3 linked regions of the Caenorhabditis elegans genome follow. The protein of the gene in region 1 interacts with the protein of each later gene in a pairwise test. Each region holds a gene or a part of one and is shown in the gene's direction. Other genes may lie near its edges.

Region 1 (8,221 bases):
GTGATAAGAGAGTGAGATGGAGAGTCCCACAAAAGATTGACATTTTCTAAAGATTTGTGGAAAATAACAAGAAAAATCGGTCGAAATTTGTTTGTTTATGTTTTCAGTTTCATTCCTTTTTTATGTGAAACTTTTTTTCAAAAAAAAATTGCTGTTTCATGTTTTCTATTTCTTGTTTTCTCCGAAATTAGCAGTGCTGTGTTAGATATTTACGTTACTGATTAACTGATAACTGGAAATTATATGCATCTTCCTACCACCATCTAGTGATAAGAAATTGGAAACGCTCTTTTGAAACATTTTATGTTCCATAATAACTTGCCAACTTAATGACCAATTTGGCAGACAAGCGTGCTGAAATTGCTTTATTTTAAGAGATATCAAATTTAAGGAGACAGTTTATATAGTAGTGTTGTAGAAAAAATAGAAAAAAGAAGGGTGTGAGTACTACTGAAAATTTGATGGGAAATCGAATCACTTGTTGTCTCTTTTTTTTGGGGGGACAATTTTATTTGAAAGAAATTCGTGTTTTTTTTCTCTGTTGCAGTTTTATTTCATAGTTTTGCTATTTTTATATTCGCCGTTATGAATTTAATTGTGAGATCATTTTCCCTTTCCTAAATTATCCCTAAAATTATTCCTAAATTATTTGCCAAAAAAATTAAAAGAATATTAAAACTGTGTGAAGCGGCTAAATTTTCGAATTTCAACATTTTGAAAATAATTTTTTTTTATTTTCGGAGTTAAATGTTTTTATGTACTTTTTGACCTGTTAGACCAATTTTCTTTAAAATCTTAATAAACCCTAATACACCGATTTCAAAAATCAAAAGAATACAATTCAATTTAAATTTCTTTTTAATTTTCTGATACCTTTTCAAATTATATTTAAAAAAAATATATTTTATATCTGCTCAAGTATTAATTTTAAGTTTATACAAGCGTGTAAGTACGTTACCAATAAAAATGTTTGAATCATTTTTTCAATTCAAAATTTAACTTTTTGTTTTCTACTTGAAAAATCAATTATTGCAGTTTTACAATGCTTTCAAATATCAGCCTAACTTCCGATATACCATTGTTACTGCTATGCTTTTCTTGATTACATTTTTTTTCTTTATATTCATTGTATTTTCAAATCTGCAAAACTTGACAAAATAGAAGCGAAAACTTTCTTGTATTATTTTTTTTGAAACAAGTGCAAAACAGTAGTCCAAATATTTGTTATCTTATCTTGTTTTTTTTTATTTTGTCAAATGTTTTTGTTCAAACCTCTCAAATAATTTTTAAGACACCTATTATTCAAATTTGTAGTTTTTCCTTCCAACCCATGAAAACCTACAGTAACCCTTCAGGGAATCTCCCGCCTTTACCACGAGAATTTCTCTTTATTATGTTAATTTCAAGTTTTTGAGTTAGGCGGTACTCTTTTCATTCACTTGCTCAAATATTATATTTTCTCACAATTTCTCACATAATCTTGCTCTGCTTGACACATAGGACGATTAACATTGAAAGTTTAATAAAATTATAACATTTGACTTTGAAACAGTAATTTTTTTAAAAAAGAAATGTTCAGATGTCACTAACATTTCAAAAATCATGGTTTATTTATCAAAATAATGAAACAGGCTTTTACAGAAAAAATTGTTCTCTAGCTAACATCTCTAGTGAATAGTAAGTATTTTCAAAGACGACTTTTCTAGAATCTGCGTAACAATGGAATTCAAATTACCACTCCCCATATAATGATCTCTAAAAAATGTTTTTAGAAAAATTTTCCATTTTTTCAGATTCCATGCTTTGTTGTCTTAATTTCCACTATTTTCTATTCCTTCAGAATTCAATCACTGAAGATGAAGCACACATTTTTTTTACAGTTTCAATTGGATCTTTTGTGAATTAAGAGTATTTTTGTTTTATTGAATCCATTATTGTTATTGAGACAATAAAGCTTATGAGTTCCATGTAAGAAAAAGTTGGTCTGAATATTTATCAAATTCAAAATTCTTCAATAATTGAACGGGTATTATTCCAATTCTAATACAACTGTGAAATTATATAAAATTCATCAAAACTATGAAACATGTTTTTACTGGATCAAATTTTCTCTGGATGATTTTTTTTCATCAAAATCAATTTTTTCTGTATCCTGATTATATTCAAACTAAACCAAAGTGTGCAAATTGAAGAAAAAAAATCAACTCCCTTTTTTTAAGTTCGTTTAAAATTCCAATAACCTCCTATTTGTTTGAGAATTTAGTTTCTTGAAGCACAAAATATTGTTACAGTTTCAGTAAGGCTTCTTTTAAATTCAGATTTTTCTCCGACATTGCCTCGTATGATACCTTTGTATTTAATCCGAAAACAAATTCTTGAGTGTTCTATGATTGTAAAAAAGTCAAATAAGTTTTCTATGAGAAAATACAAAAATGTCTCTGTAGGTGAAGTGTAATAACATTGCAAACAGATTTTTACAGTTTTTTGAGCAGCAAGGAGTTTACATATCAGCACGAAACATCACGAAAAAGTTATCTAAAACTTTTTTCTAGATAGTTGAAATTTATAAAATTTATTTGTCTGTTTCAGTAGATTCACTTTATTTAATGCAACTTCAAGACCATAGTCGTATGTCAACAATTGTAACCCCTATATTGTAATTAAATTAAAAAGTTGACTGTTTCACCATGTTTTTTTTCAAAATGTAATTTCAAATAAGTTTTGATGTTCTGTGGTTTTTCGTTCCATTTTTTAAATAAGAAATAATTTTGGATCATTGAAAAAAAATCAGTTTAGAAAGTGAAAAAAATCTATAATTACTAAGTTTACAGACAGAAAAGTTCACTATTTTTTCCAACCCAAATCTAGAAAACATTGAACTCTGTCTGTGGTCTGGTTGGTTGTCCAATTTGTATTTTTCGGACCTTTATCCTTTCTTTAACATCTGGTTTTTATTACAAGAATCGCCGCTCTCTCTTCCTCTTGTTCACATGTCTTCCGTGCTCACAAAAACCTTTTTTATTTCTTCACGGGACCTCCACAATTTTTTCATTTTGATTTTTATTCTTTCCATCAGTTTTTCCTTTTAATTTGAAAATTTGAAATTCTACAGATGGAGGACGACACGCCCGATGTGAGTTCAGATTCCAATGGAGATGCAGCATACAGCGATTATTTCTTGGACTACAAATCAAGTGAGTTTCTGATTTTTGAATTAATCCCTCTTATTTTATCCTACTTATAAAAAAGTTAAGGACTATCTTTTCTTTGTTTAGAAAATATGCCAATGGGTGCCCCCGGCAGGGGGTAACGGGGGTAAATATTAGGAAGTATTAAGAGGGGTCAGTGAATTGTTTGGTGTTAGTTTCAAGGAGCTATGACACTTTTTTTTGATGATTTGTCAGTAAATACTAGATTTGTTTTACTTTTGGTATCTGTATGGCCACGGTTTGAACATTTAAAAAATTTGAAAAAAATTACTGTTTCAGAAATTGTATAAGTATTTTAAATTTCCTTGTGATGTGATTGCGTTTGTTAAAAAAACATTTATAAAATGTTTATATAGTTTTGCAAAAAATTCTGAACTGTTTTCCCAAAGTAAAAATTCCCTCCGACGAGGAGGCAGACTCTCTCGCTTTGCAGACTGCCTTCTGTGTTTTTTTATAAAAACATTTCTTGAAACAATAACGTTACTTTAAAACTTACCTCAAAATTATCTTTGGTTGTAACATTTAAAAATCACGTGAATTTTGCAGAGATTCTATACATTTTCACAATTTTAATAAAGTCTGATCTATGAAACGTTATCAATCACACCTCTCCTTAAAATTGGGAATATAACGGAAAAGTTAACAAATTAAAGTTTAGTCAATATTTCTAAAAATTAACATTTCAAGAAAAATTTGATCAAGCAGTCATAATATACTCTAGCGCTTTCATTGATGGCAGGCAGGCGTTTTAATTTGCCTAACGTCTACCTGCCTTTTGAATATCCATTTTTATTTTGCTCTTTCATAAAATCAAACATGAGTTCACTAGCAGCCGACAGTATCTAGGTCTTGCGACTCATCATAAAACTATAAGTAGGCACAGAAACAGGCAGGCATTCTCTACCTTACTTCAGTTAGTCCCTTTCTCCAATTTCTTCCGTTTCCCACTCACTCATACATCATTGAACCTTTGAGAAGGTGTCCCATCTCCAAAGACACACGTGCCGCCACTTAATCCCAATTCTCGCCAGAACTCTTTTCACCACCACCACCAGTTGCTTCTTCTTCTTCTTCTGTTGTTTTTTTGTGTGTGTGCTCACCTCTTTCCCCTCTTCTCCAATCATCACCCATTCACACCACGGATGACTAGGTCCGATGATTTTTGCCGCCAAATGATATTGTTGTAACGTTTCCTGAGTCAATGATGATGACGACGTACCTGGAGGGGGGGGGGGGAGCGGTATTCTCTTTTTGATGGACCCCCCGTACATTCCCCCACAGGTATACCTTAATGTCAAATGTCAATCAGAACGAAAATATATGTTGTTGCTTTATTAAACTGTTGACATGTGTAAACAGAATATTTTACTTACGCATTAGTTTACTTTATGGCTCATAGATTCTCCAGTTGATAGATGTTGTAAAATTGGGAGAGGTTAATGGGTGAACGGGAGTGGTGTCACCTGTTTTCACATAGTTTGTATTATGACACTGGTTGCGATAAAATTTCAGTTTATAATCTGATAGTGAGGTCCAGCCGCGATAAAAATAAAGATTATACTAATAAATACGAGTATCGTTACAATATATATAAGATAGATGAAACTGTAAAAAATTTGAAATTTTTTTTTCAAATTTTCTTATCAAAATTTATATTCCCGCGATAGCACGGATTTTTAGAAGGACTATCTCACGAAGGCAAATTCTGAGTGCCTGCCTACCTTCAAGCTGGCCGCGCCTGGCTTTCTTATGCAGGATTTTTTAATTTATGGCGGAAATATACATACTTTGATGGTCTAGAAGTTTTAAACGTCATCCGGCGTTCGAAACAAAAGTGAAATATAAATTTAAAGCAACAATTATTTTAACTAGTACAAACCATTGGCGTATGAAATAGATGCAGTTATCTCTACAAAGTTTGAAAGTTATATGAAACTGTAATTTTTTTTTCTTAATTTTTCAAGTTTTCCCAACAAAATAGTTAAAAATTCTGTTTCCATGAGAGCATTAAATACCATATTTTCTTCCATTTTCTCCATTGTAGAATAGATTCGGGTGCAGATTATTCGAATCAGATCTACGATTAAAAAAAAATCAATTCAAAATTCAAATAATAAAAGAAAACAAAACTACTAACCTGTAAATTGGCAGTAGTCTATCTTTTGTGTGGTGCCTACACTGAAATTTTATTTTGTATTATGTTTTACATTGGTAGCGTTAAACACAGAAACAGAAGCAGCATCAATTATGAGAAAGTGTAAAAAATTGAAAATGTTAGCAATTATTTTACTGTTTCATATAATTTTCAAACATCGTAGAGATAATCGCATTTATTAACATCATGGTATCATCGTTCAAACAATTTATTCTTTCATTTTTGGTGATTTATCCAAAAGCTGTTAAATTCTCAAAATATTAATTTTCTTAAGTTTCCCCTAAATCAACTTGTTGTAAATTTTTTCAAGCTATCTGAAAATTTGCTAAAAATGGATGATAACTAGAAAAAATCGTTAGATTTAGCAGAATATTTTCCAGACGACTTTATTAAAACACTTGACCAACTTTTTGCGGTTAGAACTCAATCAATTTCCAGTATTCTTGGGAAAATTCAAAAAATGAAATTTCTGTTTTATGAAACTTTTAAATATTCGAAGACTTTATAACCTTGATTAGTCTAGATTTATCCTTTTCCAAAGTATTGTAAATGTTTCGAATATGACCATAAGAACCCCCAAATTCTATCTATTTCCGTCACAAAATCAAAAATCCTGGTGTTTCTGTGCGTCTCTCCGGTCTCTATCACTCTCTCGAATTATTGTGAAACGAGCAGTTGGTTTAGTTGGAAAAGAGCTTTCGGGTGTGATTTTTATGATGAATCGGCGGTTTTCTGGGGCGAAAAATAATCAAGAAAGTTGAGATGTATGGGAGGATGAAGTGGCAATTGGTGAGGAGGAGAAGCATGAAAAAACCAACAACTGAAAGACGTCAATGAGATGGAAAAGAGTGTAAAATTATTAGTGGAAACAATGATTGAGGTGGAAAATGAGTATATATATTTTTAGGGTTTTTGAGAAAACAGGGATAGTGGCAAACACTGGGAAAGTTTGGAGGAAGGGATCAGGAATTGAAATATACTACTCCCTACAGGTAATCAATTTTTTGTAGGCGTACGTAGGTAGAATAGCCAGCCTACATGGCGTTTACCGAAAAAAATTCAAGTTTTTTAAAATTCTTGAAATTTCAAGAAAAACTTTCTCATTCAACTTTTCCATATTTGGAATTACTTTTATCTTACGGAATTACATAAAAAAAGTCAAATTTTTATATGATTGTGTTGCTAAATTACAAAAAAAAAATTAATAAAGAAGTCGTTTGAATTTGATACAATGGAACAATAGAAAGTCAATTTTCTATGATTGATACAAGTTTATTGAAACAGTAATTTTTTGGAATTTCGGATAAACATGTTTAAAGTGATTAGTTTTACAAACTCACTGTTAAGTATACAATAAACATTGCTGAAACCGAAAAAAAAAGATGCTTTAAAGAATATAAGATTTGAAATTTTCTTCTGAGAATGGATATTTGAACTGCAAAAATGCAAAAACTTTTAAATTAAAAAAATAGGCCAACGAAAAAATGAATTACAGATAAAATCATTTGAAATTTCTGGCTTGATCTCATTAGCCCCGAGTTTAGTAAGTAGATTGTAATATTTTTAACATCGTTTATTTTTCTTCAAAAATGAGAACAATAAATTTAGAAACTAACAAAAGACATTTATTATCACAACACATATTTTCTGTTCAAAATTTCGAAACTCAAATTTTTCTCTTTCCAGATGTTTATAGGAGAACTAAAAAGTGTATTTGGAAAGTTGTTAGTTTGCTGTTAATTTTTTTATTCAGAAAACCAATAATTCTTAGAAGCTACAAATTATAATAAAGGCGCTGGCAAAAAAATCAATGGAATCAAATATATGAACTGTGAAACTTTTTTGATAACCTTTTGAAACAGTAAATTTTTGTACCGAATTTTTTTTGACAAGTCAAACCGCCAGTTTTAAAAAATCTAAAAATATGGGCATTCTTTTATTTGTTTCCTAAAAAATTCCTGGGATTCTGGATCAAAATTCCAAAAAATAACCAAAACAGCAAAACAGAATAAGTTATATTTGAAGAAACCTCGAAAAAATTCAATTATGATGCAGACTAAATTTGTACACCTCTTTTTCTAAATATAAATAATTTGAAACTGATAGGAATTAAAATATGTTATGTCTCCAAATTGCAGAAAAATAGTATCTTGGACTGAAGTCTGACAATTCAACTAAATTACCGAAATTCAAGATCATCTCTTAATGTCTTGATCAAAATTGCATGCTTGATAGGATTTGATATTGCATTCACATGATATACCTGTGAAACTCAAAAAGCGGATGGGACCCAATCAGAAAACCAGAAATTGTTAAATTTTCTCAAAAAGTTTTGAAACAGTAAATTTTTTCCAGTCACTTTTTTTTCGGAATGTCAAACCGCCCAATCTAAATAATGATGCTCATTCTCTCTATGTATCCTATAATTACCGTACATGAACCCAAATGTAACTGTCATTATTATATTCAAGACAATACGACATAAATAAGGAGACAGATACAGTAAGCGTGGTTACAACAGCAGATGTTGTTGCTTTTCTCTCCTCTTTTATTCGAATTACACCATATTTTACCTCTCTCTTCACATTTCTAATATGGTATGACAGAAGATCAGTGGTATCACAACGTTTTTTTGATTCGATTAAGATTATAGTAGTTCCGTTTCTCTGATTTCCCTCAATCTGCTGCTTCATCCTCTTGTTTTCTTTTTGAATCATTTTGGAAGAAGAAGAAACAGAAGAATTGACCTTCCTTCTTCTCAATTTTATTGTTTATAGACTCATCATGAGTATGTCCTTTTTAGAGGGCAAAAAGGAGCCAGCCGCGTCATTTCTCTATTTGATTTTTATTTCATTAC
Region 2 (8,202 bases), on another chromosome or scaffold:
TGACAACTATGTATAAACTAATCCCTTGAAAATCATGACATTTTGATCTTTTGATGAGAGTCTACTTTAGAGTCAAGGGGATCCTTTTTTCAACGAACTTTGCTTGTAGTTCAAAAAACGCTGTCATCAATATTCTGTTGCTTCTTTGACTCTTTTCTACTTTTACAAAACATCTTCTTCTCTGCCTCACACGAACTTCTCCTTCTTCACCACAATTTTATTGCATTTTGACACGGAATGCACATTTATTCCCTTCTATCAATTGTAAACAAAATCGAATTTTTTGAGCAGAAAATTGCAACACTTCTTAAAAATGCCTTTGAGTTGTTTTGTGTTTTCGTTTTTTGAAAAGCACCGGAAGAAAACACGAAAATGCGTTGTCGGAGGTCAAATTGAATTGTTGCTTTGTTGTTGGAAGTGCACGTACATTGTGGTGGTCCGAAAAGTTTTCTCGTCTATTTTTTGATGCTTCACAGGGCTTTATAGTTTTAAAGTTTTTTTTTTGAAATTCAGATATGTATCTTTTCATTTTTTGATGATCCATGATACGCAAAGTAAAGGTTTTCAAAAACTTGAAAAAAAATAATACCATCATTTTTTGACTGTTGACCATTCCCTACTTATGATGTTTAGTCGCAAAAGCTCAAAATCTAAAAAGCCAAAAGGGTCTGAAAGTGGCCTATATTCACTATCAAAAAATTGAGTACATACATAATGTAGTGCAACTTCAACAGTGACATCAATTTCAAATCGATCACAGAATTCTAGCATAGTTTAAAAACCGGTGCCTCGAAGTAACCGGTGCATCGAAGAATATGCAAATCAACGTTTCGGCAGCTGATGTTTATGATAAAACTGTTATTCCTGCACACAGTGTCGACAAAATATAGTCATCATTTTGTAGTCAATTTCTTCCTACAATATATATCTAGAGAATTTCAAACTTGAGCAAATTTTTCTAGACAAGAAAACGGACTTTTTTGTGTACCCACTCCTATTTTTTTAATGAAAAAAAACTGAAAAAACTGAAAAAACTATAAAACCTAAAATTAGACTAATTTCCTATAAATAGTACTCGAAGACTAGGAATATTGTTAATACAACTCCATTTCTCATCAAATGACACTTATCCATCTCCTATCGGTCATTTTTCTTTGGTTCGTTCTAAAACCTTCCGGTGGTCTCTTCCAACCTTCTTCTCGTTAATGATCTTCTTCTTGTTTCCGTTGCCTCAAAGCTCCAGAACTGCCCTCTTCAATGCCTTTTCTCCATCTTTTTTCCCTTTACTTCGTCTTCTTCCATTGCCTCTCCCGGCTTCACAAAATTAATTTCTTGCGCTCATCGTCCTCTTCCCACCGCCCGTCTTCGTCCTTCCGTCTGACGTCCCGTCTTTGGAAGACTCGTCAAACTGGTAGCAAAGAGCTCATGAGCTCTCCATCCGTTTCTCATTTTACTTTGTGATAGAAGAGGGGCGTGGGTACACCAAAAAAAGATGTGTTTTTGAATCATGTTGCGAAATTTGTTCGTTATCTGATTACGGCTGCAAGAGGAAGAAAACCAACATCGAAAGGCCGTGAGGTCCAATGGGTCTTTTTGTTGACGAGAGGATTCCTCTGTTTTCTTTTTTGGTATAGATTTCTTACCTAGATGAACAATTTACGTCCTACTGTATTTGTAATAGAAAATATAACATGGATTTCTATGTTTTTTTAAGTTTGAAAAATCATAAAATAAGTAACCAAAAGTGTATTTGAGACTTCAAGCATAGTCTGCTCAAGCTGTTATTTGAATCTCTTAAAGTCTTAAATTCAGAAAGAGATATCAAAGTTAGGGGAAAATAAATTTGAATTTGAATTATTCCAAATTTAGATATTTTTAAATGTTTTTATTCTCGTTCAATTTAATGTGCATTCAATTTGTATTGCCGTAAATATTGTAAGGATGAGCCAGCCATCCATATTTTCGAAAAAAGTGGGATCTTTGTTTAATTGCCAATTGGTCTGGGTATAAAAAAGCGTTATATGTGGTTTTTTGTTCAGAATTTCATAAAAATAATATGGGTAAAACTTTCCAAAAATTCAAACCATAGGTATGACCAAGGAAAGTGTAGGCACGTAGGCGTAGGTCTCCTTGTGGGTATCGTAAATTGAAAATATAAAGAATAGGTAGATTATTTTTTTTGAAAAAAAACGCTTTGAATTTTTCCAAATTGAGAACTATCCAACTTTTTAAATATTCCCAAAATCTCAAGTATAAACAATCTTCCTCAAAACTTTCTTATCGTCATTCATCTGAAATCTCGAGTGATGGAACATTGTGCAATAGATTTGTTGAGGAGATACATACAAGAAGACACAAATTATGCAAGTGGTTTGTGTTGTAGAAAGAGACGAATTGAAGAAAATGGGGAGCATGAGAGGGAAAGAGAGGCCCCCGGATTGCACCACCAGACCTCCCAAAATCGCGCAATTTGATGCTAATACATAGCTTTTGAAAATTGGTGGTGGGGGCGGAGGACATTGGTCAAGAGATGGACATCGTATTTTATTACCACAACTATTCACAACTCATTCTTTCTTTTCATTTTACTTTATTTTTTCTTATACTTTTTACAAGAAAAAATGACAAAGAAATTCGAACTGACATAAGAGAGTCATCATTTTTGACAACTCTTTTTTCTTCTATTTCCGTTATTTTTTTCTAAATCGGCTTCTTCATCTCTCTTGAACAATTATTTCGCTGCTCTTTTCTCGGTCTCTCCCCCACTAAAAACTCTATTTTGTTTATTTCGTCTCACTCTTTTTTTTGTTAAAATTATGATTTTTTGAAGGAATGAGCGACTCAAGCGCATCCCCATTACGCTCACCAGAGGATGAGGAGCTACTCGCAAAATCATCGAGAATACGATTATGGGTTACAAAGAGAATGAAAGAGGTGAGTGATTGTTTGGTAGGGAAAATGTATGTTAATCTGATTATAAAGTTGAAAAAAAAAGGAAAATCGAGTGACTACCAACGTTCAGTTCAATCTCTATTTTTTCAAGATAAACTTCTCATGAGGACTTGTTTCTATCCTTAGAAAATCGTTTCAAAAATGTGTTATATTTGTTAACAAATTTTTGGATATTTGCCGTTTCATTTTTGATAAAAATCGATCTTGAAGTAATTAAAAATTGAGCCCAACACGGTTTTTTTTATTTTCGTCCCTATAACTCTCTGTTTATTTATGATCTTTTGCTCTCTTTCAGCACTTAAAGGGTTACTCCACCTCTGCAAATTGCGGTAAAACGTGTTTTTGATAATTTGACGACAGATTTTCTACATGAAATAAATTACAAAATTATTGTGATTTCAAACTCTGAAAACCACGCCTTCTAGAGTTCAAAAAAGGACATACTGCCTACTAGTGTTTAGGTCAGACAATAATAAAATTTCATTAAAAAATTAGTGAATAGTACAGCCACTCTAAAACTTTTGAGACTTAGAAATATGGTATAGCATTCCTTTCAATTCGATTTTTATAGTTTCCAAAATCATTAAAAAATATAACATTGATACCTAAATATCATTGAATACTTACTTCTCATTGTTACATTTGTTTTTTAGAATGGGAAAGGTACAAAAACAGGGATGTGCAGTGGTCAACAAGTAGTCATATTAAATGAACAATATTAGTCCTTATTAGTTATTCCGTGTGTATGCCAACTCATTTTGTGTTCTCTCCTCTCCTCTTCTACACCTATTCAAATGATAATCTATATACGTGTGTTCGCCCTGTTCATTTAACATTCGGAAACATTTTCCTGGTAGTTGTGCTTTTAGTTTAGTTTTTAAAAAAATGTTAAGAAAAATTTTGAATTTCCGGATTAGCCCAGCATATTTTGCGTCCTAGAAAAAACAGAAAACGCGGGAAGTGTAGCTAACCTTTCTAAAAATGGGATTTTACAGACCTGATAACTTACGATAGACTTTAAAACTTTCTAACAACTTCAAAACGACTGAGATGCCAAATATAGAATTAAACTTTTGTTAGAAAACTATCTTTATTATTTTCAAATCTAGTATACATCCTAACCATGTGTTCCCTTTTTCATTCAATCTGTTTTTTTCTTCAAACAATACTTGCTCCCACCAAATCTGCACTAACGACATAACACATTTTGAGTCCAAAAATTATGAGCATGAGCACAAACATTGTAGATGCCAACATGTTGGTTCCCCCAAGATATCAGGTTACCTTCCTGACAACATTTCTTGACGTCTCCCTTCCGACATCGTTTTCTTCTTGTTCTTCTTCATCCGGTGGTCCAACCCAGTCTGAATACCTTTTTTCTTCTACAAATTCTTACTTTTCTGGGTAGTTGACTCCGAGAGTTTGGAAGAAGACAAAGCTTTGAAATTTGCATAATGAATGAGTGACGGCTGGTTGATTTTTGAGTTTAGAACGAAGAATAGAGCACTCTGAACCTCTGACTGAATTCCCTTGAGTTTGAGTTTTCGAACGGGAAGAAGCCCATTTGTTAACTGCGTTGAGTCTTTCTACTTTTAAGAATTTCTGCTTTCAAATGGAGTAGATATTCTGAGAATATTGAACAATTTTAGAGAACAGAATTTTGAGAATAGTTACTATTTTCAGAAACTGCTTAATATTTATTTTAGATAATTTTGTTTAAAAAGGATCTATCCATTTTGCTTTCTCAGTTTCAAGAATTTACCTGCTAATTTAGTTTTTCACATTCAAATTTTTGGCGCCTTGATACCACCCACAAAGTATCATTGTTCGTTGTGAAATGTCCTCCAAAAACCTACACTCTGATTCCACATTAATCTTCATTGACACCTTGTTCCATGATCACTAATGAATATTTCGTACTACACAATTTTCTATTCATCCACTAATTCCTTGGATCCGCTTTTGCTGCTACTCGGAGATGATTACGGTTATTAAATGAGAAGCTAAACAGTTGTAAATGATGGAAGAAACTGGTTTAGTCCAGTACTAGTACATCTTTAACTCACTCGTATAGTTGTTTCTCTTCATTCTCACTCGTTTGTAATTCTGAATTTTCAATTTGGAAATTTATTTTTCTATGGTGGGTGAGGCATTTTGTGTGTGTTTGAATACAGGATGAGAAGTTCATTTTTCTGTTGTTTCACGTCATTTCAGAGTAAACGATTTGGTTTTATAGGTATTAAAAACACTTTTAACCAGACTTATTTCCAAATATGATAACATCTGTGCTGAAGCAGTTCAATATCCACACCTATTATTTATTGAAATTGAGAATAGCTGTCTTCTTCATAAACTTAACGATTTAAAAATTAAAGGAATAGTCGGAATTTTTTTTGAACAGTTTCAAATTTTATGACCTTCAGCAGAAATCAGTTCCATTTGTTTCAAAACTTTGAACTTGGTTTTCTATTGAAGTATTAAAGAATCTTGAGAGCTTTTACACGTGTTCAAATATTTTTTTTCAATGTTTTTCCTTTTCTCTCTCGCTTCGTTTTTTTGTTTGAAAAATCGTTTTTTAAAGTTGTTTCCAAAACCTTTAAATTTAAAAATTGACAAATTTCCGCAATTTATCATTTGGAACCAAACGGATCAGCAAAAAAAAATTTAGAACTACTATTCGAAATGCATGCATTTGTGTGCCAGGCTTCCCAAATTCACAAGTATACGCCACCACAAATCTCTCTTTTTTGGGCTTTTCCGTCCCGTTTTACGCTGTCCTATGGCATGTCAGTAAACCTCGGTAGTGCAGCTCGTTTTGGAAACTCTAGAAGACGTCGTATATACTCCTTCTCAACCACTTCAATCAAAAGTGTGTTCGTTTTCACTGTGAAATCATCTCAGATTTCTTTAAAATTTTCATCACTTTTTCCTCAATTTTCTTTACTTTCGTATTTTACTCCAATTTAATAGAATCTTCGAGTTGCGCAGCTCCAAGTACCCAACTTGCCCATAAAACTGTGAGTAGTGGAGTCTGAGAGCCTGGCACACATCTGCTGAACACCTTTTCACAAAATGGGAGAAAGTGTCTACAACAGGTGCTTTTTTTCACTCGGGTTCACTTTCATTTTCACCACTTTTCCATTTTATTTTTGAAACTGTACAGTAGGTGGGAATAAGGAAAAAAGAAAAAAAATTGGGAAAATTCCGTAGAAATTCGGATTTGTCTCCGCCTCATTAATCAAATTTTTGTTGCCGTTTCATTCGTCACAACGTCGAAAAACGACTTCAGATTTAGAAGGGTGTTCTTTCTCATTCTTCAAACGTGTTCCATTTGCAGTTGGCTTTTAGACCTATTTCACTTGAACATTTTTTTCAAAAAAATAGGGTAGAAGCTTTATGAAAAAGTTTTAATTCATATTTGTACATTTGATCAGAAATAAAATCAAGAACGCTGTTGTGATGTTGTAGAATCATTTTAAAAAATCTGAAATAACCCCGAAGTTGATAGTTTAAAAGATGAAGTACCAATGGGCTTAAAAATTAAATTTAAAACAATTTTAAAATGGTTTTTTGTGGTTTCCAGTCACAGTGAGATTCTTTTTGCAATTTCCGTAGATTTGAACCTTCACGATGTTCTAGATGAAAAAACGAAATTTTACAATTCGCGGAAACTTCCTTTGAACGACTTCCAAAATAGTGAGTTGTGTAAAAGTTGCCAACTGTCACTTTTTGACTGTAAATTTTTTTATAAAATTGAATTGTTTAACTGTAGTCTTTGGTCAGTAACTTTGAGGAGTTTCCCCACTGGCACTACTCAATTTCTTCAAAATACCATTGAGAGGTTCCAGAACTGTTTTAACACACTATTTTTCGTTGCAATCTATTCCTATTTCAGTTTTCTTTGCTTTTTCACAACTTTCTAACACCTTATCAAATGCTATTTTATCATTGACAATCTGTCAATTAAGTGCGATAACATCTGTTTCCGGTGTGACGTGATTCTGTCTCCACTCTATGAATCCAATTACTTTCTCATCTAAATCTCGTTTCTCGCGCACTTTCAAGTGTTCTCCTCCTCCTTCTTCTTCCTTCACTCATCCGTCATATTCAATACTCTTATTCTCATTAATTTCGCAATTACTATGCAGTTGTGAATATAGGCTTCTTCCATGGCGAAGCTCTTCTCTCTGTTTGCAACGTCCGATCATTTTGCTCTCTTTTTCGTTTTCTTATGCATTTCAAATAGAGTAGCGTAGTCTCAAACATCTCTAGAGAGATGAAATGCAACATTTTATTGGTTCCGAAAACGGCTAGCACTGCTTTTTTCCTTTTCTTTTTTGGTCAACTTGTTTTGCAAAAAGCCAAATTTGTAGAGTGCTCATAAACCATTTTTCTAGGGTTTTCAGAAATTTTGACTACAGTTGTCATTTTGTGAAAAATTGCAAAGAAGTGCAAAACAATGTGTTTATTGCTGGCTTTTTTGGTTCATCTGTGAGCCAAAATTTTGTTTTTTTTTTGCACCACCTGTTTGAAAAGAATTGAAGTGCCAGTGCCAGTAGGAGTTTATCAATATAATATTTAATGAACAAAGAAAAATACGGTAGAATGACACTGGAACTCAATTCGGTGTTATTACTGTGTGACAAGACTGCCTAGCCCTCCAACCAAGAATTTGACCACATGATAGCTTGTGCAGACTTGAAGCTTACATTTCTACTATCTTTGAAATTTATTAGAAAAGCAGTTACTACAAAAGTACCAGACAGTTATGTTTACAGTGCCAGCTACCGAAATCGGTTAGAGCCAAGTTCTACAACTTTTTTGAACGATTTCCTCGATGTACTCACAATCCTCCGCTATAAAACTCTGTCATAAGAAATTGAAACATCCATTCTCCCAACGTCTTCCAACATTATAAATTAGTATTAATTACGACTTTTTTCGATACGGTGGTCCTCTCTCTTGTCTCATACTACTTCTTCCAATTTTCCATTTCAAGGCAGAATTCACCATCAATTCAATTTGTCAATTTATATGTTCTCTGCGTCTTCGGTTTTTTTGTTGGTTCTTTTTCTTTTAACTCGACCTACTCTCTTCTAATTCGGAACCCGCTTCCCTCATTTTTCATGCCATGCGGCTTCTTTCTGCGGAAACGACCTCCTCTTCTTTTTCTGCCGGGGGATCACATCCGTACGCAACGACTACTACCAGGCACGCCCACTTTTTGCTGCTACTAATTACGATAAAACA
Region 3 (9,598 bases), on another chromosome or scaffold:
TATGGGAAAGAAAATGCAGACGGTAAGATTTTTAAACAATTTTTTTGAATTTTTTTGTACTGACAAGGAAAGATTTTCATCTTACCCTGAAATTTTAAAAATGTTTATCAAATTTTGTTTATGTTAATGAAAAAAAACATAAGAACATATATAATTGTTTTCTAAAAAAGAGAAAAAAATTGTCAATATTTTAAGCTAATTTTCAAAAAATCAAAAACAAAATCATTAGATTTTTCGATTTCCCAAAAACCGAAAAACGTAATATTTTCGTTATTGTTTTTTGTGAAAAATCGAAAAATGAACACCTTTGCTGATAACATATCGCTGTAACATTTTAATCGGCATGTTATGTTGAAAAATCTAATTTTAAAACAGTTGATTTTTTTCTGAATAAATTTCCAAAAATAATGTTTGGCTACACCTAAACTCTTTTGAAGTCTTCAAAAATATTCAAAAGTATCTTTTGGAGCAACTCTAATGGCCTGAAAATAATGCAAAAATACACTGAAAAATACAGTCAAAATTTAAATGGTTGAGGGTGTAGCTGTGACGATTAAAATTTTTTAGTGTGTTTTTTGAGTCCCTCTCCCTTTGTTCTGTAATTTTCATAGTTCTTTGTATATATCTTGTTATTTCCAGCATTGCCCACAAGCTGACCGAATTCCTCTTCCACCAATCAGCGAACATCTTCGAGAGGAACGACGAAATTGGCTTCGAGACGTCGGAAAAATGGCCATCATTTCAGCTGAATCACCCGTTTCCATTTGTATGTACACAACAGTAAATGCACCAATTGGAGTGGCTTCATGTGATTTTACGGATGATTCAAGTCTTATTGCAATGGGTTTATCTGATTCTTCAATTGTTATGAATGCAATGGATCCGATGAATAAGATGAAGAAGCTTCGTGATATGGAATTTCTTGATAAAATCGATATTGAAACTGCGGATAACGTGCAATCACAAATGTTTGATTTACAAGGATCAACGACAAGTGTGAGGTATACAGGCCACGGTGGTCCCGTGTTTTCTGTCAATTTTTCACCGGATCGACGACTTCTTATATCATCTGCCGGAGATCGAACAGTTCGACTTTGGAGTATGGAGACTCAGAGGAATGCTGTTATTTATAGAACACCAGCAGTAGTTTGGCAGGTTTGTATTTATATAATTTTAACTAGCATTTTAACTGAGATATTTAGTGTCGTTGGTAATCTTATTTCAAATAATAGATCATTATCCGAAATTATCGAATTTAACTAATAAAAAAACTGTCTCATAAAGTTTCAGCGCAACGTTCTACATTATCTAATCTGAAAACTATTACAGGCTCAATTCTGTAGTCGTGGATACTATTTCGCTACAGCAAGTGCCGATAAAACAGCTGCAATGTGGTCGACAGATCGAATGCATCCACTTAGAATATTCGCTGATCCATATGGAGACGTTGGATGTATTGATTATCATCCAAATTGTAATTATATTGCTGGAGGATCAGATGATAGATATGTTCGAGTATGGGATGTTTGTTCTGGTACTCGAGTTCGCATTTTTAGTGGTCATAAAGCTTCGATTATCGCTGTCAAGTTCTCCCCATGTGGTCGGTATATCGTCTCGTTAGATGCTATTGGAAATCTGATGATTTGGGATTTGGCATACCAGAGATTAGTTGCAGCTGAAATTACGGAACAAGCTGGAACGAAGGTAGTGAAATATAAAAATGATAATATCATATTACTAGTTCATTTCAGGGTTCAATTACATTCTCTCGTGATGGTGGTGTATTTGCGGTATCCCATGGAAATTCAAGTATTCAATTATATTCACTTGATACTCTTATTGGAACAGTTCTCGCCGCTGGACAAAATGATTCCTACATTGAGCCAAAGTAAGTTTTAATTAGGAACAAAATACTTGGAGAAATATACAGGTACAAATATTATGAAAACGCAGAAAAATCCCCTTACGAGAAAGAAGAAAGTATAAATTTTATTCATCAAATTAGCCATAACATTTTTTTAAACCACTTAAAAACAGGACAAATGCTTGAAGATCGGAGAAATCGGCAATACTAAAAACTTTCGAATTTACGGTTTTGTCGCCAAATACCTAATGAGACCTATGGCTTGGGGGCGGGGCGTATTTATTCGGCAGTGGAGCGCGTTTCCACTTCAGAATGTCTTTTCTAAGTCCTCATAATATATAGTTTCTCGAAAACTCCTACAAGCTTTTTTCAATCAATTTTTACAAAATTTCAGAGTGAATCTGGACGGTTTCAATATAGGATCATATGCAACAAAAGAAACTGCAGTAATCGGACTCCATTTCACTCGTCGAAATCTTCTTCTTGGATTTGGTTGCTTCGGGCAATAACTGTCATCTTGCCTGCTATTATTTGAACATTTTATCTTTAAAATACATTATCTCAAAATCTGGTCTTTAACGTGATCCTCTCATTCATATTAAATCTCTTTTTCACTGGTGGAATAAAACCTTTTAACAAATTTTAAATTTATTTTAAAATCCCTTTGGCTTTATTTTGGAATTATGTGTTCATTCCGACACTGCAAATATTTTATTACATTTTTTTCTCTTTTTTAAAAATAAGGTTATTTTATTTTCAGATGACGTCGTTCGTCGAAGGGTTGACCAGCCCTGAAATGGAAATTGCTGAGGGCGGAGTCATCTTGGATAATAGGACGTAGGTTTTTTTGTTAACTTAAGACTAATAAAAATACTTATTTTTTAAAAAATTTCAACAGTTACATTTTAGGTATAACTGTACGTAACATTTTTCGAATATATCTACTTTCAGACGATTCGCTGACCTAAAAGCCATGCTGGATAGTAATAAAGATAACCTAAAAGTTGATGCAATGAAACGAATAATTAACGTGAGATTTTATTTCCAATAAATTATAATTATCTAAACTTGAAATTTCAGCTGATAGCGAAAGGAAAAGATGTCAGTGAACTATTTGCTGCAGTTGTGAAGAACGTAGCAGCAAAAAATGTGGAGCTGAAAAAGTTGGTATTTGTTTATCTTGTACGATATGCCGAAGAACAACAAGATCTTGCACTTCTCTCGATATCAACTTTCCAACGGGCTCTCAAAGATCCGAATCAACTGATTCGTGGAAGTGCTCTCCGAGTTTTAACATCAATCCGTGTTCCGATGGTCGCACCAATCATGCTTTTAGCCATCAAAGATGCAGTACGTGATATGAGTCCATACGTGAGGAAAGTTGCTGCACATGCCATACCAAAACTATACTCACTGGAACCTGAACTCGAACCTCAGCTTGTCGATTGCATAGATTTTCTTCTCGCTGATCGAAGAAGTTTAGTACTCGGTAGTGCTGTTTACGCATTTGATGAGATCTGTCCACACCGACTCGATCTTCTTCATAAACACTTCAGAGCATTATGTCGTGGTTTGGCAGATGTCGACGAATGGGGTCAAATTGTGATGATCAACATGTTGACTAGATATGCAAGACATGAATTGGCGGATCCAGATAGAGGACCACCCGATACGGATGTTGTACTTCTTCTCAACTCAGCTCGTCCTCTACTTCAATCAAGAAATTGTTCAGTTGTCATGGCAGTCGTACAATTATTTTATCATGTTGCGCCGAAAGCTCAACTCTCTCAGGTAAGTCAAGCGGAAAAAAATATGGCTTCAGAAATTTCAACTGAAAAGTTAGTAAAGTAAAAATAAAAACTCTTATTTCCAGATCGCCCGTGCACTTGTCCGACTTCTACGTGGTCCACGGGAGACCCAATACGTAGTTCTCACCAACATTGCAACAATATGCGAACGAAATCCGGTAGAGGAAGGAACTTACGCCATCTCAAAAGTGCGCTGAACGCAACTGAGAAAATAGCATGAAAAGCATGTAAAGACTGAGACAAATCTAGAAGAAACTGTTATACATTTATCAGTTTTTGAATTAATTTCACAAAATGATAAATTTGTGATAGCAGTGGTTAGCGTCTCAGTCTTAGAGTCACTTTCCCCGTTTTTGTGTTGTCTTAATCTGGATTGTCTGAAATTCTTTTAAAATGAGATATCTAGCTTTTTGAACGATATTGTTGCTCAATTGAAGTGCACTGTGATGTTTTTGCTCATAAGTAAATACATAGAATTCTTGGTTTTGACAAATGAGACAATCCAGATATTTTTACCAGTGAATTGGAGTGCTGCTTGGTTGTGTTTCAGTGTACTTGTCTTTTGATGGAACTTTTACATATCAAAAATCAATTTTTTTCACTCTCAGACGATGTTCGACCCGTTCCTAAAATCATTCTTCGTACGATCCTGTGACAGTTCTCTCGTTAAGAAACTAAAACTTCATGTGCTCACAAGTTTGGTTTCAGAAGCGAATGTTCATATCATTTTGAGAGAGTTACAGGTGAGAGAGGGTAATAAATTTTCATATGAAATTCTTTTTCATTTTTCAGACCTATGTTCATATGTCTGATTTAGCTTCTCCAGCTGTTGAGGCAATTGGAAGATGTGCAGTTCGCGTCGGAGCAGTATCAGATCAATGTATGACTGGACTTGTCCAATTGATTTCTTCTTCCGATGAGAAAGTCGTATGCTCTGCTGTAGTTGTCATCAAGAGACTTTTGCATGCTTCTGCCCCTCTGAATCTTCTTTCAAGGCTTATGAGGCTCATGCCGAATATGATTGCAGCACAAGCGCGAGCTTGTGTCATTTGGCTCGTCGCCACCCATGTCGAACAAGTTCTACACATGGCTCCAGACTTTTTGAGGCTTATTGCAAAGAAATTTTCGACGGAAAATGAGCTGGTTAAACTAGAAGCTCTGAAACTTGCAGTGAAGTTGTGGCTTGTGAAGCGTGATGACTCTGAAAAGATTGTACAATACGTATTCCAACTTGCCCGATTCGATCTCAGTTATGACGTTCGTGATCGATGCCGATTTTTACGGAATCTAATGTTCAATACGGAGATTCTTTCACAGCATATGGAAGAGATTTTCATGTCGAAAAAGCCAGCACCAGAGCTTATTAGTAGTTTCAAGGAACGTGATAAATTCCAATTGGGATCTCTGTCACATGTGTTGAATCAAAGATGTACGAAATACATTGATCTACCCGAATTCCCAGCAACATCAAGTGATTCGTTATTAAGAAAAGAAGCACATGCACCGAATGAATTGAAATTGGATGATAGTGACGAAGAAGAAGATGATGATGATGAAGATGAAGAAGAAGACGAAGATGAAGAAGAGGAGGATGAAGATGAAGAAGATGAGGAAGAGGAAGAAAATGAATCAGAAGAAGAAGAGGAAGATGATGAGGATGAAGAAAGTGAAGAGGAATCTGATGAAGAAGATGAAGAGGAGGAAGAAGAGGATGATAGTGAGCCAGAGGAGAAGCCTAACCCAAAACCATCTACTAAGAAACAAGCACTCATTCTCAATAAATCAAGTGAGTTTCAATCAAAACCGATTTTAGGGTAGCACAAAAGAATATTCCTGTAAAATCTCGGACCAAAACAAACAAATTCGTGAAAATACCAAGAAATAACTCTATCTTGGATTTATTGTAAACTTTAAAAAACCCCATTAACCACATTTGGTAAGGTATATATGCAAAACATGAAAAGTGTTTGAAGTACAGATCTGTAGAGTTACGGTATTATTCGTGGCTACAGTACCCCTAACCGTATTTGATTCTTAATATTCAAAAAAATTCAGAACCAATGAATGGTAAGCCAAAAACAGAAAGAAATGATCTCGATTTGCTGATTGACGTTGATTTCTCGGCCGCGGGAAGTCGTCAAATAATGGATGCAACTCATATCGAAGAAAAAGAAATTGAACTTTTGAATGTAATTGAAGGAAACGGGCTAATATTATCAATTAGTTATCCGCGTATTAATGATGGACAATACACGGCTATTCGATTTGGAATCACAAACAAAACCGATGGAGATTTGTTAGGAGTTGAATTAAAAACTGAAGAAGGTCTCGATGTGAAGGGAAACTCGATTATTGGAGATATTCCGTCTGGAGCACGAGTTTCTGTTGATTTGCTCGTAGATTTTGGAGATAGTGCGACAAGTAGAGAATGGATACTTACAAGAGATGATGGTCATGAGAAGCATTTCAGATTTGAGGTAATCTTTTAAATAGTTTCAGAGGCTTTTAAAATTATTTTTTCCACAAAAAAAATTGAAAAACGTAAATACTCCCTTGATGGTTAATATTTTATATCAAAACTTGTATAATTCCTGACTAGATTCCACAATCCGCATCTTTTAAAGATAAACTAAATTTTTTCCTAAATTCTAGGTCCCATATGGTGAGCAAGTTCAACCAATTCGTCTGTCTCCAGAAGATATTTCAAAAGAAAGAAGTCGTCTTGGAGGTCTCAATCGGCATGTGATACAACTCGAAAATCCCATTAATCCTTCGTCAATTGCTCTATTTGTTAACGCATTTTCTTCGGATTTGACCATTTTCACTTGCCAGACACGTTCACGAAAGGATGTTTGTATTCTGACAGTTTCAGAAAAATCGATTGAGTGCTGTTGTGACAACTCGGTGATAGGACGAATGCTGGCGTTCTCTGTCTCCAAAAATTGCTAGAAAGATTAATTCAAATTGTATTTATTTATTTATTTTGCTCACTTTTTCTTGAAATCATTCCTTTACTAACTATTCATGGTGACGGATATATAAATTTTTAACAGAAAAATTAGAAATATGTAGGCACTTTAGAAATTTGGAAAATAATGTGGGTGAATGGCGAACGTGGAACTTATATTGAGCAACAGTAAGGCGGGGCAAATAAAATCGGGGTCTAATACCAATTGGGTGGGAATAAAACATAAGCATGATACAGGATGTCATGGAAAAGAATAATAACGGAAAGAAACGAAGGAAATGATGAAATGGAGGATCCCTGAGTGAATGAAAAGTCACAGTATGCGAGAAAGGTGAGAAAAACCAAAAAATGAAATGTTAAGCCCGTGTCGTTGTAAGATGACTGGAATTGTTGTTAGACGAGTTGTTGCTCACGCGAATCGTCGATAAAATTGAATCGAGCCGCTCGACTTTTGTCATCAGGTCTTTGACGATTCGATTGATGCAAGCACCGGCGCCCGTACCGGTAGATACTCGTTGGCTCTGAAAGCTATGTAAATGTTGGCTGAGAACTATAAATGGGTTAGCAAATATTGTTTTTTCGGTCTATTCTGCATCTAGAGATGCTATCGTTTATAGTTGTGAGGGAAAAAAGAATTAGAACTCGCTGCAAGAGTTTTTCGACTAAATGTTTTTCATTCCGAAATAAGGTGTGAAGCTATTAATTGATCGAAATTTGCAGGTCTTCTTTGAATTAATATTTGGATATTTACTTTCAAAAATCCACCAAAAAAAGAAAATTTACGTACTTTTTCTTGAATATTTTTATTGTCATCGATGCGCACTTCGTCAATTTTTGCAATAGTTTCCTCCATTCGAACATCTTCGTGGTGCTGCACGTCTTCCATGAAAACATCTTCCGAGCCTTAAATAGTACTAGTTATTTTCATTCTCAAAATGCGACAAATACTTACTCATTTTAAACTCTTCTTTACTTGGACCTGGGGATGGCTCGTCCGGCAGAATTTCTGGATCATTCCTCAATGGTTCTACAATCAAACGTGGCCGTTCTGTTGTTCGAAGTTGTTCTTCTCGTAATCTATGCATTTCTTCAGCAGCAACTTGCCGTTCATAAAGCTCACTTTCCAACATTGCTATCTTTTCAATAGCATGATCCAGTTTCGATCCGAGATCAGATGCTAGATATTCCTTATTTCTTTCTGATGTTTCGAGCACATCGTTTCTCTGTTCCAGTTTTCGAATTCTTTCTCTCTGACTTTCACATTGTTCATGAAGATGTGAGTTTTCTCGTCTTAATTGCTCTTCGACTTGTGCAAATTGTACACGGGAATCGTCCTGTCGATCCTTTAAAATTCACAAAATTCAAATTATAGTTGAAAAATTTTATAAAGTTTTTTTTTTCAATTTTAATGTAAAAAATAGTACCAACCTTGTTCCTAATTTGCTCTGTGGTCATCTGCTGTACTCTGGTTTCTGCTTTTTTCAGTTGTGTTTTCAAATCATCCAATTCTGAATCCATCATTTTCTCAATTTCCGCGGAACTTGTCTGGAACTCGTTAAACTCTTCGCGCATTTGCAAGAAATGACCAAGAAGCTCATGGTGCGGTAGTCCGCGAATTTGATCCTCAGACAAATCCATTGATTTCTGATGATCTGAAAATATTAAAGGTTTAGAAAATTGTTCAGGATATTCAACAAAAATTATGAATCGTAGGAAAAAACGTATAATGCCGCCTGTGAACACACTAAACCCTTACAACGTTCGGCCACGTGTGGACAAAAAGTGAGAGAATAGAATGGACATTTGGGAAAGAGAGAAAAAGAGAACTGGTCGAACGGAGGAAAACAGAAGCAACTACGTATTAGTTGCTACCGCAAATGGATGTTTTTTGAGGTTTAACGATGTTGAAGAAAAGTCTCAGTATTCTTATAAATCGGGATATCTAAGGTCGCCATCATCTGATAGACAGCTAAAGTCATCTCTCTGAGGAAAGATGGAAAATCCTCCAAAGTTTTTGACACAAGGCATTCGAGCAAACAAAAAAGTGGGGGTGCTCCGGCTGCTCCGGCCGCCGTGTGCTCTGTGTTTGTCCTTGCTCCCATAGCTCGTCCGCACTTCCGCTACAAAAAGTCGAACAGCTGTGCGAGTAACACCAATAGGCAATAATTTTAAGATCAGATAACCTTTGAAGATTTCAAAATACTTTGAAGGAAAATTTTACTGTTTTTTGGGTTTAATACACTGATGAAGTTCAAAGAAATCTGCTATAAGAAACTAATTCCGAAAAAATTAACACTTTTTGTAAATAGAATAGAATAGTCATTCAAGAAAATCTGTGTTAAAAGAAAAATTGGTAAATTTCTTCAAAGAGTATTCCAGAAATGGCAATCAATTTTAGTAATCGATAATTAAACTTCGGAAATAGAAATTAAATTCATATAACAGTCCAATTTCCCACACGAAATTCAGGTCAAACTCACGATAGGCAGCAGTCGGAGGAATGGGGAGCGGCAATGGTCGCGTATAATAACTGATAACAAATAGAATAAGGAATGCAGAATATATTGAGCATATTATTTGAAAGATTTTCAAGTTAAGCGGGTCAATTTAGTTGTAACGATTGAGACTAATGATGTAAGTGAGAATTTGGAGAGAATGAAATGTATTAACAAACATTTAAAAAATGAAATTCCAAAACGCCTACGCATGACTCATCGAGTTGTTGAGTTCTAATTGGATTAGGTGTGGTGAACACAGAAAATCGTACGAATTAGTGAACAGAAACACGAAACCGGTTGAGATAATAAATGACCAATTTCAGCGGTTAATATAGGATTCACGAATCACTGGGCCACGTCACGAGGAGAGTTGGGGGTGGTATAATCTGTTTTTCGCGTTTTTTCCCGCGCCGCAGTACCACACCTAAATTTGATATTCGAAAATGTAAATGAACGAGAA

Evidence for each region. Proteins that work in one complex are often made in the same cells at the same time.
Region 2: the proteins of unc-5 (region 1) and max-1 interact in a two-hybrid assay, tested with the Caenorhabditis elegans proteins (one study listed by BioGRID).
Region 3: the proteins of unc-5 (region 1) and apb-3 interact in a two-hybrid assay, tested with the Caenorhabditis elegans proteins (one study listed by BioGRID).

Annotation. Positions count from the first base shown.
Region 1 is NC_003282.8:5,523,230-5,531,450, reverse strand, and holds the start of unc-5 (Netrin receptor unc-5), read left to right. Parts: upstream 1-3,112; coding exon 3,113-3,194; intron 3,195-3,525; exon of another isoform or gene 3,526-3,546; intron 3,547-3,810; exon of another isoform or gene 3,811-3,831; intron 3,832-4,748; exon of another isoform or gene 4,749-4,769; intron 4,770-5,081; exon of another isoform or gene 5,082-5,102; intron 5,103-5,543; exon of another isoform or gene 5,544-5,564; intron 5,565-6,579; exon of another isoform or gene 6,580-6,603; intron 6,604-6,665; exon of another isoform or gene 6,666-6,686; intron 6,687-7,158; exon of another isoform or gene 7,159-7,180; intron 7,181-7,637; exon of another isoform or gene 7,638-7,658; intron 7,659-7,800; exon of another isoform or gene 7,801-7,821; intron 7,822-8,035; exon of another isoform or gene 8,036-8,056; intron 8,057-8,221. UniProt on the Caenorhabditis elegans protein: Receptor for netrin (unc-6) required for axon guidance. Mediates axon repulsion of neuronal growth cones in the developing nervous system upon ligand binding.
Region 2 is NC_003283.11:13,104,966-13,113,167, reverse strand, and holds the start of max-1 (PH domain-containing protein), read left to right. Parts: upstream 1-2,832; coding exon 2,833-2,934; intron 2,935-5,795; exon of another isoform or gene 5,796-6,067; intron 6,068-6,212; exon of another isoform or gene 6,213-6,360; intron 6,361-7,097; exon of another isoform or gene 7,098-7,312; intron 7,313-8,202.
Region 3 is NC_003279.8:7,851,126-7,860,723, forward strand, and holds apb-3 (AP-3 complex subunit beta), read left to right. Parts: upstream 1-2,624; coding exon 2,625-2,701; intron 2,702-2,815; coding exon 2,816-2,894; intron 2,895-2,944; coding exon 2,945-3,655; intron 3,656-3,737; coding exon 3,738-3,860; intron 3,861-4,280; coding exon 4,281-4,415; intron 4,416-4,464; coding exon 4,465-5,458; intron 5,459-5,727; coding exon 5,728-6,149; intron 6,150-6,324; coding exon 6,325-6,621; 3' UTR 6,622-6,728; downstream 6,729-9,598. Other genes in the region: taf-5 (Transcription initiation factor TFIID subunit 5), read left to right, coding at 1-22, 640-1,155, 1,330-1,704, 1,752-1,888, 2,259-2,373; Protein nud-2, read right to left, coding at 6,997-7,161, 7,428-7,543, 7,593-7,983, 8,069-8,278.